3 linked regions of the Danio rerio genome follow. The protein of the gene in region 1 purifies or fractionates together with the protein of each later gene. This does not show direct contact. Links are inferred from orthologs where the notes say so. Each region holds a gene or a part of one and is shown on either strand. Other genes may lie near its edges.

What was found. Proteins that work in one complex are often made in the same cells at the same time.
Region 2: the proteins of lin7c (region 1) and dlg1b purify together in Homo sapiens (affinity purification with mass spectrometry; 4 studies listed by BioGRID and IntAct, counting the BioPlex papers as one, with this or other methods). This does not show direct contact. The link is inferred for Danio rerio from reciprocal best matches to the Homo sapiens genes LIN7C and DLG1.
Region 3: the proteins of lin7c (region 1) and pals1a purify together in Homo sapiens (affinity purification with mass spectrometry; 3 studies listed by BioGRID and IntAct, counting the BioPlex papers as one, with this or other methods). This does not show direct contact. The link is inferred for Danio rerio from reciprocal best matches to the Homo sapiens genes LIN7C and PALS1.

The regions. Positions count from the first base shown.
Region 1 is NC_133182.1:31,951,729-31,956,116, reverse strand, and holds part of lin7c (protein lin-7 homolog C), read left to right. Parts: intron 1-671; coding exon 672-881; intron 882-2,800; coding exon 2,801-2,968; 3' UTR 2,969-4,388. UniProt on the Homo sapiens protein: Plays a role in establishing and maintaining the asymmetric distribution of channels and receptors at the plasma membrane of polarized cells.
Region 2 is NC_133177.1:5,302,492-5,307,593, forward strand, and holds the start of dlg1b (discs large homolog 1-like protein), read right to left. Parts: upstream 3,393-5,102; coding exon 3,291-3,392; intron 1-3,290. UniProt on the Homo sapiens protein: Essential multidomain scaffolding protein required for normal development. Recruits channels, receptors and signaling molecules to discrete plasma membrane domains in polarized cells.
Region 3 is NC_133192.1:35,894,163-35,899,015, reverse strand, and holds the start of pals1a (protein PALS1), read right to left. Parts: upstream 3,393-4,853; 5' UTR 3,244-3,392; intron 1-3,243. UniProt on the Homo sapiens protein: Plays a role in tight junction biogenesis and in the establishment of cell polarity in epithelial cells.

The DNA of each region.
Region 1 (4,388 bases):
TAAAACTGCATCAGCGCGCAGCAGGCGTATACTCCACTGTAATTAGTGAAGAACAAAAACTAAACAAGGTTCCGCCACAGCAATTACACAGATACACTCAAATATGTATTGAGGTTGTGCAGATGAAATTTCTTAAGTATTTGCCATCAAAGATGCCATCTTTCTTCACTAGAATTAAATTCTGTGAACCATTTTAGCTTGTACCTTAACAGACAGGGAAGTCAATCTGATTATCTGATTGGCTTAGCTTGATTGTAATGCCTTCTTTTGCACAAGACTGATGGCCTAAATTACATCAGCAACTTATTTGAGGGAGGTTGTTATTTTCTCCTTTTATTTAGAAGACATATGTATTCTTTTTTAATGTCTGTTCACCAAACCAGCTTGCAGTATAAACAGTTATAAGCTGTTGTTAGAAATCAAAATGATTTTTTTCTTGTTATTCCTATTATTGTGAACCAGAAAAAGACGCTTTACTGTGACCTGATTCTTCAGAATCCAATTTAATATGATTTCATGCTGTCAATAAAGTTGAAATCCTAAATTTAGCTTTATGTTTTAAGGAGCTGTGACACATTTATATATAACAAATATAGTGTGTTTTGGTATGTCTATCCCTTGCAGAAGTAGTTTTTTTGTTATCCATAAGTGGTTGATTTCTTTTTCTACAGGCTACAGTGGCTGCGTTTGCAGCTAGTGAGGGCCATTCTCACCCACGTGTGGTGGAGCTCCCAAAAACAGAGGAGGGACTGGGGTTCAACATAATGGGTGGGAAGGAACAAAACTCTCCCATCTACATCTCCCGCATCATTCCTGGAGGCATCGCTGATCGACACGGTGGCCTGAAGAGAGGAGACCAGCTGCTATCTGTGAATGGAGTGGTATGTACACAACAGATCAAAATGCTTGACATTAACTTTTTATCTGAATTCACAGGTGCAGAATACACTTATTTATTTAATTACAGATTAATAAATTCTGTACTGCACTTCCTCATTTTGCTTTTTTTGTTTGAGAAAAAAATTGAGAAAATTTAAAACAAATTGAGAATTAAAAATAATTATTGTAAAAAGGGAATTTACATAAACCGGATTGGTGTGATATAAGTTAGACTAAATTATGTGAAATTTTTTTTTTTTCAAGAAAATACTTTACACCTTATTATGTTACACATAGCTGTCTAAATACCATTTTTATACGCTCCTAAGGAATTTAACATAAACAACATTTACACACAATGAAAATGGATTTGGTTCTCTTCACTTCTTAACAAACCCTTTAAATATAACAGTATTCAGAACAGAAAAGAGCAAATGCCTATAAAATAAAGAAGTTGTGGTGGCATTCACTATGTAAAATGTTTGACTGGTTGACCTTTTTATTCATCAAAACAAAATGCTCATTTAAATAAATGGTGTCAGAAATGTAATTTAAACAAAGTTATTGGTCAACCTTTATTTTCGATGATGGTCCTATTGAGTGTTAGTAGATTGTCTGCTTCATATGTTGATATTGCTCCTTCAACAGACATTTAACTTACTATGTGAAACTTTGCAAGTACATGTCACCTTACACTAACCCTACCCCCAACCTAACAGTTTGCTTCTAATCTAATGAGAATCAGTTGGCATGCATAGATATATACATTAGATGTCACCTACCCTGTTGTTGTCTATTAGAAGGAATGGGTCAATTGAGCCGCCATTTTAGTACAGGGTAGCGCTCCTTTTAAATAAATGTGGGACCAAGCTGCTATGGAGGACTGTGGCCATCCAGAGCCAGAGAATTACACACATACACAAATATCTATGGTCGGGAGTTTTCCCGGAGGTCAGTATGCAATTTTCTTTTTTAAATTATGAAAATTATAATTTTACATCACTTTTCTATATTGATGGATCAGTGATCGCACAGGCATTTCTGACAAAAAGCTTGTGTTTGTTTGTATGGAAATGTACTATCCATACTCCCTGTTAAATTTGATCAAATCCGTGTCCTGAAACACACCTCCTCACCTGCTTTCACTTTTCATACTGACGGAGGGGGAGATTCATTTGTGAATGAACGACTCCTTCACTTAACGGACAATAATACAAGTTTCCAGCATCTCGTTTTCATATATCTTTTGCATTGTTTGCTGATTTTATTCAACAAAAGTTGCATAAGCCGAGTGTTAGGTGTGAGTTGCTGCTGCTTTGCCTTTTGGTGAATGCAGTAAGAGACAGTATTATTATCAATAACGCTACCCGTTTAGCACAAAAGTTCATAATATACCAAAACGTAAAAAAACCTGAATCTTACCTATGAAATGTTCTGCCTTTGTGCTTTGTTTTCTTTGTTTTGTTACTACACCCGTAGACAGCGCTAAAGTCCCGCATCTTCACGTAGTAACACTGTCTTGACTAGTGCGGTTGAATGACACTTGTCCTGGGAGCACTACAAATATGGCGGCGCTATTGACGCATGCTCGGGGTCCCTATGCGATAACTAGTGTATATATCTATGGTTGGCTTGTAGTTGCTATGTAATTTAAATTCAACCAACAGACCATCAAAATAAAGTTTGACCAAGGGATAAAGTGAATAAATAAAGTGAAAGCTATACAAATCGAAATGTGGACACTTTGCACCCACTCAGATTGACGTAAACTGCATTATGTAAACTGCTTTAAAATACAAGTCACAGCACGTTTCAGATTATTAAAAAAAACTGAACTCATTTATAAGTTATGTCACACCAATATAGGCATTTAAAAAATAAAAATGTTGATCCAATAGAAAAAGAACTCCTTGTCTTTCAGAGTGTAGAAGGAGAGCACCACGAGAAAGCTGTGGAGCTGTTGAAGGCTGCTCAGGGCACAGTGAAACTGGTGGTACGGTACACCCCTAAAGTCCTGGAAGAGATGGAGTCGCGCTTTGAGAAGTTGAGGTCTGCCAAACGCCGGCAACAGAACAACTTCCCCAAGTAGGGGTCTCATCTGTGCCCCCCCCCCCCAAACTCTCTCTTTCTGTCTTTTTCTATTTGTCTGTATATCTTCTGCCATCTGTCTTCTTTGTCCACGCTCTCTCACCCCCTTTCTCCAGCCAGGGATTAGCCACATGTTTGGCTCTCCTTTTTGTGAAATTTTCTAAATCCTCACCTCCTCAACGGTTTTTTAACAGTGTTTTCACACGCCTCTTTCTCATAGCATGAACACTACGAAACGGGCTCTGGATGTTTTCACGTAGACATCACATACGTGCACTGTAATGGTGCGTTACTAAGAATGTACTGTCATTTGGGATGTTGATTTGTTAGATATGCAAGGGGACCATTGCAATGTTCAACTCCTGAGGTGATCTGAATGAAAATGTCTAAAAAAGTGCCTCAAGAGCTTTTAAAAAAAAATAATTGCAGCTGCAGCCTTCAGTGTGTCCCATCGTAGGCTGTGTTTTATGGTCCATGCACAAAACGAGTAAACACTAGCTCAACCGAAATGTAATTGAGTGCAAACGTTTAACAGAAATTCGAAAGAATGGTGTATAATTAAGAAAAGGGGTTATGATATACTCATTTCCAGTCAACTTTTCTCACTCTTTCACTAAGATAGAAGGAAAAGTTAACTAGAAATACATAACGTACGTGTTTGGAGAGATAGATAAATGGCAAATCGGTGATATGAGCATCTTTTCAGAACTGCTGTTTGCTTCAAACACAAGGAAATGCTGAAACAAACAGTGTAGCTGTTAAAAACTGACACTGTTTCTTTTTTTTTTTTTTTTTTTACATTTAATGAATTTACAGATGAAAAACACTGTGATCTACAGTAATTGGTGTATCAGCTCTGTGGAGTAAACAAATCAGCTTTTGTCAACAAGAATAGAGAAGAATGAGGCAGTCGGCTGTGTGTTTAGATTCATTTGGAGGCATAAAGCATGTTACATACGGTCACGATTACGCCATTTCAACAGTCTGCTTTTGATTGAAAATACGTGAATGGAATGTTTATAAATCGTTGAACCGGAAAGCAGTTCTGAGGAGATGCTTGTGGCGCTGTTTGGGTGTTGGATAAACAGAAAAATGAATGAAAATGTAACATTTTTGTAGCTTATACCCCTTAAAACACAGAAACGGAATGAAGCAGTCACTAGCTCTTCGTCAAGCACGCGTCTAGTTTTTAATTTGTAGAAGTAAAGCGTTTTTATTTTAAACACTTCAGCAGACACACTAAGTTAAGATTGTAGGGGAGGTTAGTTTCATTAGTTCTGAATGATAATGTGGCACTTGCCTTTCAGCTCTGGGTCCATATGATTCACCCAGTTTTTGCTGATTATTGTATAAACCTGCATCGTCATGGTTCAGAATCAATTTTCTTAAACGGTTATATTAGTGCATCACGAGGTAGCAGC
Region 2 (5,102 bases), on another chromosome or scaffold:
TGATTACTGTGGAGCAGAGTGTTAACTACAGTCAGAGCGGAGATAATCCAATGACTGATTAAAAGAGAAAGAGCTCCAAAAGGAAAGAACAGCATTAAAACCAGCAGCCACTTCTACAGTTGTTAAGAAGTTTTCACAGAATATCTTTGGAAAGTTTTGACATGCTTTGATATAGTGAATCTGATCTAGAACTATTAAAAATAATAATTGTTTAACAATTAGGGTAAGACTTCGGAATGAAGTTGTACAACATGAACAAACAATGAACATTACAGTATTTATTTATCTGTGTTAATGTTAAAGTCAATGAATGCGACAAATGATTAACTATAGTAACTTAAAAAATGTAAAATTATAGTAACTTAAAAAATAAATTATAAAAAACTTTCAAAAATGCTGTACATGTATTGTTATCATGAGTTCATGTTTGTAAATACATGATGGTAAAGTGTGACCGTAATTAGCTTTTATGAGCTCATATTATTATGAGTTATGGTAGTGCATTGGGTACATTTGAGAGCTGTTGGTTCATGGTTGGTTCATGTTGGTTCTGACCTGGGTCATGCCCTGATCCTACTTACCTTTCTACACTTGATCAACCTAAACATCTAGACGCACGCACACGCACACGCACACGCACACACACACACACACACACACACACACAGACATAGACACAGACACACACAGAGACACACACAGACACACACAGACACACACAGACACACACAGACACACACAGACACACACAGACACACACAGACACACACAGACACACACAGTAAGTAAACGCCCAAAAGAAAGAACTTAATTAGCATATCGTCACCTTAGAATTATATAGTTCCATCTGACATTTTTGTCAAAATTGTGTTATTAACATATTCTTATTAAATGACAATGACTTATTTACATTATGGGATGTTTTTTTATAAGTTGTTTACATTTTAAGACTTTTTATTTACAAAAAAAATGTTACACACATACTGTTTGCTATGGAATGCAAAAACTTTGATGCTCAATATCTCAAAATCATTCAGAATGCAGATAGAACCTTATCTATCTGACGATATGTTCCCCAATAGCCCTTAAATTGTCTAGAGAAAGACAAGCTGTTGGTTCATGGGAACCAATTCTGGCCTGGGCCATGCCCTGATCCTACTTACCTTTCTACACTTGACCACCCTATCCATTTAGTCAAACACAAACAAGAAAAAGCCTAAAAGAAAGAACTTGATTAACACACCTTCCCCTATACCCCTTAAATTGTCTAAAGAAAGACAAGCTATTAGTTTATGGGAACCAAGTCTGGCCTGGGTCATGCCCTGATCCTACTTATACTTCTACACTTGATCATCCTATACCAGGGCTATTCAATTGGCAGCCCGTGGGCCGAACCTGGCCACCGAGGCAATTTATTCTGGCCCTCCAAATAGTGCAAATAAGACATGAAAAATAAATGTAGTTAATTCGAAAAATGACGCTATAGTTATGAAGTGACGTGCGCCAAGCAAGTGGGGCAAGCAGGATGCAATGATTAGCCGATTTCACTATTAACTGCACTTGAATTCGTCACAGTTAATTAATCGTAAAGGCTTGTCAACGCCGCATTTCTGTTGCATGGAACGAAACGAAACTGCTGCAACTAAACCAAGTTATGTCAAGTTGTCAACTGTGCACTAGTTTAAAGTTCCATGTATGTACACCGAGGCTAATACGCACTCACCGGATTAACTATAGCAGTGGCCAGTCCCATAACAAGTCTTTTCAGCTTGCAAGTTTGTTATTTTTAATGTAATAATATATGACAATATGTGCGCACAAGCGCAGCAACACACTTGCGTCTTTCTGGGTGCACACAGTAGAAAACATCTTACGGTGAGAGTTGTGCGTGCCTTTCAGTGCAATGTTAACAACATATATGTTAGACGAGTTATTATTAAAATGATTGTGCTGTATGTATGAACGCAGAAGGCAACAACGAGCCTGATCTCATGAGAAAACGTAAGTATTTTACGTTTTCCCAGTTTAGTGGCTAATTCGTACGAATTCGTACGAGTTCAGTCGTATGAAATGGTACGATCTTAAAAAGGAGGCGTGGCACCTAACCCCACCCCTAACCCCAACCGTCATTGGGGGATAAGCAAATCGTACTAAATTGTACGAATTAGAAAGGATGAATTCATACGAATTAGCCACTAAATGAAAAAGTTACGAATTGCCGTGAGATAGTGTTGCAACAACAGTTATTCTAAATAGCTACTTACCTCATATAAAGCTTGAATTTACATTAGACGTGATAACCGTGAACCCATGATTATTCTTTAGACTATATAATCGTACAACCATAATTGTGATGCAGTTTAAAAAAATAAAACATGAATGTGTCTTAAAGTAGAAAAAGCCTACTTGAGCAATGCACTGCTTTTGCTGTGCTCTGATATACAACATTTGAACATGTTTGTAAACAAGAAAAGTCTATTGTACAGTGCACTGATATTATGTAGTTTCAAAATACAACATATTCATATTTTAATGTAGAAAAAGCCAACGTGGGTGTCTTAAGGAGAAAATAAACAGCATATGGGCTCTTATATGCAGTTGTGTTATCACTCATAAAGCAAGTCATATCTCTCCGGCCCTTCATTTGGGATGCTTTTCATGAACCGGCCCCCGTGACAAACTAATTGAATAGCCCTGTCCTATACATTTAGTCAAACACAAACGAGAAAAAAACCTAAATGAAAGAACCTAATTAGCACACCGTTCCCTACACCCCTTAAATTGTCTAAAGAAAGACGAGCTATTAGTTCATGGGAGCCAAATCTGGCCTACTTATATTTCAACACTTGATCATCCTATACATTTAGACAAACACAAACAATTAAAAGCCTAAAAGAAAGAACCTAGCTGTCCTAACCTAACATAAATTGTTTAAGAAGAGACTAAAAGGCAATAAATCTGCTGTACGCCAACTCTCTTACATCTAGAAGACAACTCCTCTCATCTCATCAACTTTTCAATTATGTGTGCCTTAAAAGAAATTCAGTCCATGAACGTGTTATGCCAGATCTCTCTGCAAGAATAAGTCTACTTCTGAAGTCTGCTAGATCTCGAAGAGAACTCTTATCTCATCAAGTTGATTGCATGTGCCTCGGGAGTTCCAACTGGCAGCAGTACCAAGCATTTTGGCTGCCACTCTTGGCTACACCTTGATGTAAAGCTGGACAGACTCTCACAGACTGTCCTGTCCTGTGAATTAAGCGAACCTGAGAAGCAGCTCCACCACCCACCTTGCATCCGAACATGAGTGAGATGGTGCTGTTGGTGCAGGCCACTTTGCAGTGGCACAGCATGGGCGAGAAGCAGTCCAACTTCTTGATGCTGGGAGACATTTTCTCGCCGCTGTGGCAGCTGAGCCGATCAGCCAGCGAAGAGCCGGAGACTCGCCGGCGCGAGCGATACTTGCTCCTGCCTCTCCGGCCACCTCCTGCTCCTCCACCACCACCTCCTCCTCCTCCTGCCCCTCCACTGCTGCTGCTGCTGCCCGCTCTCACCATCCACCCTCATTCCTCGTCTCACTCCATCACGCCAGGGAAGGGACAGCCAGTCTGCTTCCTTCATCCAGCGAGTTTGTCCACACGCCCCCTTCTCCTTCACCGCTGCTCCGGTCTTCCTCAGAGCCTTTCGTCTTCTGCTTCACTGGCTTGCGAGATCCGTCCCTCCACCTTTCACAGCTGTGAGTCACGGTGGAGATGTTTGCACGGAGGCCTCATGCCGAGTGCATGCATCCGTGAAGGAACAGCTTTCGGGACCTTTTGGTCATCGCCAAGAAGACACCACACAACTGCTGCGTTCCCCCAAAAGGGAAGGTGAAGAATGCCACAGTTTGAACAACGCAGCGAGTTGTGAGGAGAACGCGGGAAGAGGAGGAGAGCTGTGAGGGGAGGGAGGGAGGGATAAAGCTGTTGCAGCGCGTGGGGTTTGTCACATGGACGTCGAGTTGGGTTGAGTCTCTCTCTCTGTCTCATCCTCGGCGTGGGTGCTCTACGTCACCCAATACATTGAGGGGAAGGCAAAAAAATAAAAAGCCAAGGCAGTAACAGTGAGATGGAGAGGAGCAGCAAATGAACATCCTCAGGGAGCACAGCCTCGCATGCAGGAGGAGGAGCGATGTTGGAGTGACTTACAGCACGTTTGCACAGTGGAGAGAAAAGGGGGAGGGGAGCGTCGAGCCTGGCCAATAAGATGACGGAATGTCATTGGCAGCTGACTGGACAGTGGATGTGACCTTCTGAGAATGGCTCCATTTCTTGATGGGATCCCTACGGTGGAGAGAGTGAGCTGGCAGAAAGATGCTTAAGCTTAATTTCTCCATTACTTCTGATTTGATTAGGCCGACCATGAAATGGTCACATAGGACAAACCGCTCGGGTCACTGGCTTTTAAGGGGCAGTGATGTTGGGGGAGGGTCGGCAATGACAAAGATCTCTGCCGTGACTTTGCTTTAGGAAATTTTTAAATCAGCAGTCAAGCTAAGAGGGATGTGGCAAAATGCTGCCATACTCGCTAATCTAATCCTCACCGCTAATAAGATCCTGTTCTCGCACAGCGTGCACATGCATCTGCTATATTCTGCCAGTGAGGCAATCCTCAAGGCCATTTAATATTAAACATTTTGGACATTTTAGTTACTTCTCTCATGCTGACCTACATAACGTGCAAAAGTCAAAGACTCTGAGCCAGTAGTACTACTAACGTCAATTACCCCTATTTTACGTACAATACTTGGGTTGTCAGTGTGCCTCACTGTCCAAAGTGTGACTCAGATCCTGCCGTTCTCGTAATGTATGCGTCACTCAGCGTGCAACACGACTAACACTGGCTAAGTCCATTCAAGGATCATCCGAATGCTCGTATGAAGCATCACGAAAACGCTCATGACACGACTGCACGGACATATAAATATAGTTGGTCTTACTTTAGAATACTATTTTTGTGGCAACAATTTCTCAATGAACGTCACAGAGTCATGAATCTGAGAAGGGAATAGAGTCAGTTTCACAAACAAGGTTTAAGGCTAGTCGAGATTAAATTGCATGTTT
Region 3 (4,853 bases), on another chromosome or scaffold:
TTATTATTATTATTATTATTACTACATTAAAATTAATTAATTGTATTTATTTAAATAAGATCAATTTAATCAATATATGATTAACACATTTTAATATTATTACTTTATCATTTAAATATGTGGGAGTTACACTACACTCTATTCTACAATATATCCATCAGACAGGCCAACGGTTTTCATTAGGCTGCCAGGCCAGACTCCGAAGGAACGTGGCGGTGAAGTAATATGATTCTAGAGTATGCTGGCATTAACACCTCTCACTCTACTCTGAAAACAGATACTGTCTCCTTGAAAGAAACCCATCTGATCCAGAGCCAAAATCCTCTATCATCTGTTATAGCATCATTTATTTGTGCAGTAACTCCACACCTGCGCCACACAAACGAAACTGACATAAATAACCTATTATTATCATCATCAACAGTGCTGAATCATTTTATTAAAAAAAGATGTTTGGCTTAGTACATGCATCAAGAGTATAGAAAAGGTTATCTGTGTGGTGGTGCTGATACAGGTTACTTACAGCCAGCTCTGAGCTGATTTATATCACAGTGTGCAGAGGGAAGACTTATCTTTAAAAAACACAGAGCAGCCAGCTGACATGCAGCTTGTGATCTGAGGAAATGATAAGATTATCAATTGTGTTCTTAATAATGGATTGAAGACATGAATCACAACCAATGCTGCCTTGGTAGGAATGTTCTTTTGAGACTTGGTTATATATAAAAAGCAACATCTACAAAGATTTTGTTTGACAGAGAAGCACCAAAAACTCACTTATAAAGTCTAAGGGTCAAGTATCACACCTTGATAGACTTTAACATTACAAACTCTTTTATTGATTTCATTTATTATAAATAAGAAAACAACAACATATAAAGTTGAAATCTGAACCATTAGACCCTCTGTGTATTATTTTCCCCCAATTTCTGGTTAACAGAGATTTTTAAACACATTTTTAACAATAGTTTTAATAACTCATTTCTAATAACTGATTTATTTTATATTTGTCATGATGACAGTAAATAATATTTGACTAGATATTGTTCAAGACACTTCTATTGACATTTAAAAGCTTAACTAGGTTAATTAGGGTAACTAGGCAGGATAGGATAATTAGGCAAGTTATTGTATAATGATGGTTTGTTCTGTAGACTATCAAAAAAATATATATATGTAGCTTAAAGGGGCTAATAAATTTGACCTTAAAAGGGTTTTTAAAAAATTAAGAAACTGCTTTTATTCTAGCCGAATTAAAACAATTAAGGCTTTCTTTAGAAGAAAACATATTAACAGACAGATAAAGATTAACAGATAAATGTCCTTGCTCTAGAAATATTTAAAAAGAAAAAAAAGAAAAAATTCAAAGGGGGCTAATAATTAGGGGCCTATTCTGACTTCAACGCTATATTGTTTTTAAAAATATTCCTGTTATGAAAAACTCAACCTAAAAAACATAATAGGCCATTATAGTTTTTCCATAGTCAAAAAAGACCTCATACAGAGAAATGATCTATATTACAAATCAAAGTTCTATGTGAAAAAAATATTAAGCTACTATTGAGTTTACTTCAACCTTATTGCTTATATTATTAATTTACTCTTCATTTTAATATTTGTTATTATTATTCATTCTATTCTAATTTTAAAATCACAAATAACAGATTATTCATCATCTTAAATTTTTGTTTAAATCATTTTTTTTTACTCAAACTTAGGGGTCATTTTTCCCAGATGTGTTTTTTTAAGGTTAAGTACTAACCTAAATACTGAATTGTAAAAATATATATTATTTTAATTCTGTTTGTTTATATTATTGTGCTAATCTTAATAAAATACTTAATTCTTGTCATTTAAGAATAATTTATATTTTATAATAACATTCAATATTAACATTTCATTTAATGATAATCTTTATTTTATTAGTTTTGTTTTTCCAGGTTTCCCCCCCAAAAATATTTTCCTCTGTAGCTGCTGCTGGACCTATTTTCAGACTAATATTGGTCATTCATATACTTTTCAGGTCATTTAAAACACCATTGGGGCGATTTCAATTTATACTAAAAATAAAATAAAAACCAAGCATCCAGTGCATAACTACAAATAACAAAAACTTCACAAAAGTATACTATAATTCGATGGGTTTTGCATGCACAGAAATATATCTGTAATTGTATATATTTTACAGAAATATATCTGTAAGTTGATTTACAACACGAGAAAAGTTCTACAACACAGAAAAACTCCCCAAAATTCCCAAGTTTTACTAGCACATCAAACTGTCAGACGCCTTTCAGTATAAAGAGAGGTTGATAAAATAAACCTGAACACTTAACACAAGTTTTATAAGCACATAAACACTTTAACGTGTCTAGTAAACAGATCTGTCTGAGTGACCAATTTAATAAATAACTACATTTTAAATCAATGAATAACACAGAATGATTAACTCAGAACTGTAGAATTATATCATAAAGGTGTCTGACACACACACACACACACACACACACACACACACACGCACACACACACACACCTGCAGTTCCCAGTCATAAAATAAAACGATAACGCCCTTTCCATGTCAGGTTTGATCCACAGTATTCCAGTAATCATTCCACAGACAATATAAAAAAGGAAGCCCTATCAGATTTCTGAACCAATGCGAAGGGAACAATGCGACACTTGTGTCCTAATGGCTGTATTGAAGGTAGATAAACCATGGCAGTCCGTGTAACCTATCGATTAAAGAAACTTCCACGCAGTTTCAACAGGTTGTGTATAGGGAGGTGAATGAATCCACAACTTTGCCATTTTAAACCCTTTGTTTCATTTTCAGTTACTTAATACAAAACCACAGGTTTATAGTCTCAAGACCTGGTGAGCTGCCACTTTTCGGACACTGGACGCACTAATGATGCCTAAAAATGCTCCCTAGGTAGGCGACTCATTAGGCTTTGAGACTGTAACGTGAGCTATTTGAGCTTGATATTCCTAGTAAACTAAACCAACAGCGAAACGCAGTACTTATACATCTTATAAACAGTCCCTTGAATGTTTATAGAGCTTCATTTAAGACAAATGAGTGCGTGCTTTAATGTTTTGCTGAGTATTTGCATAGCTAACACAGCTAGCTGGCCACTTCCCGAAGTGCAGCCTTGCTTTCTTTCCCAGGCAACCTGTTGCAAACAACACTGACGCCGCGTTTTAAGGGCCAAAACAACTTGAAAGAGTGGCTTAGCTTACCTCTGTAGTCACATATGCCGTCCTTTATGTCCACTAAGCGTATAAATACTTCCAAACAGGCGGTTTTGTTCACAGAATGGCACGTTATATTGTTGTCATGTTATGTGACGGGTCGCTACGGCTCGACTGTTTCAGGCTCGGGACTGACTGACTGACTGACTGAGAGTGGCTCAACAGCGCCTCCGGCAACCCTATGAGACGACGCTTCTGATTGGAAAGATCCTCCACGCTTAAACTCCGTAGTCCAATCAGAAGGGTTTTTTCTTCACAGTGTCGACTGAACGACAAGCCGGTCAGTTTCGATCGAGCAGAATTAAAGGATTGGAATTTTGGGTGCTTGTTCTGATTAGGTACTTGTAAGTATTGTAAATACACAATTGTAATAACAGTCAAACTAATTGGACAAAGTGTATTTTCTCATGATATTTAGTAAGATGTACGGCGAATATGGAGACATGGAAGTGTCTTTTAGTTTTTAACAATCTTTAAAATATGTTTAAGTGGACCTATTGTGCAAAAATTATTTTATAAGGTGTTAAATGACAGTTGTATGGCAACGATGTGTGAATTATATAGCCAGCCTCTAATGTTAAAAATAAACAGTTTTTTTTTTTATAATCCCATTTCATAAAAACCACACACACACACACACACACACACACACACACACGAGATGTTCTCTCCCTCATTAGCATAGACAGCTCTAAGTAAGAAACAGCTGTCTGTCATTCTGGTTTTAGCACCATATCTGCCAAAGATAATGTCAGCGACTAAAACCCCGTTTACACTAATACGTTTCAGCTTTAAAACTGCGTTTTAAAATAAACACGATCCATGTCCACACTGGTGTTTCACCTAGCGTTTCTGAACAGATCTCCATCCACACTATACCACTAAAAACACACATCACGTGACCACACACACACTCTGGCATGTGCTGCAGCATATGCGCACATGCCAGCTCCAGGCAGTCAGGGGGTGCTTTGAGCACAAAACCCAAGGTGAGAGCAGCGCACATCGAACAGTTCATCAAGGATCTTCTGCTGGAACTCCTTTCACTATATTTTTTAAACGTGATATTTAATTAATCTTGTTGTCTATTCGCCGACTTTCTTTTGAATCTATTTCTTGTTCTATAGTAACTTGTTTTGGCTGAGCGCAAAGATAAGTTAATATATTAATTTATGTAAGAAGGTTAACTGATTCTGCACATTTGACTGATTGCTTGCCTTTATTTTTTATAATGTATAAACTTATTGTATTATACTTTAATAGGGGCCATTATTGATTATCAAAACTGATATTCAGCAAAAGAGACAGGGTGTGTTTCATATTTTTCACTGAAAATGAAAGGAGGCAGTAATATAGGCTTCATTATGTTATAATTATGCATACAGTGAAGACGATTATCATATACTGTAAATATCCAGCTACACGATGCCTCAACATTTTTGGTGTCTGTTAATTAGCTAATACCAAAATAAAAATAGGCAGTTCCTTATATCATATTTTCACTTTATTGTTAAGATATTGAAACAACATAGCCAGGGTGATGTGAATGACGTTAAAAAGTAGAGCTACACTGTTCTCTTTGAAGATTTACCCGACAA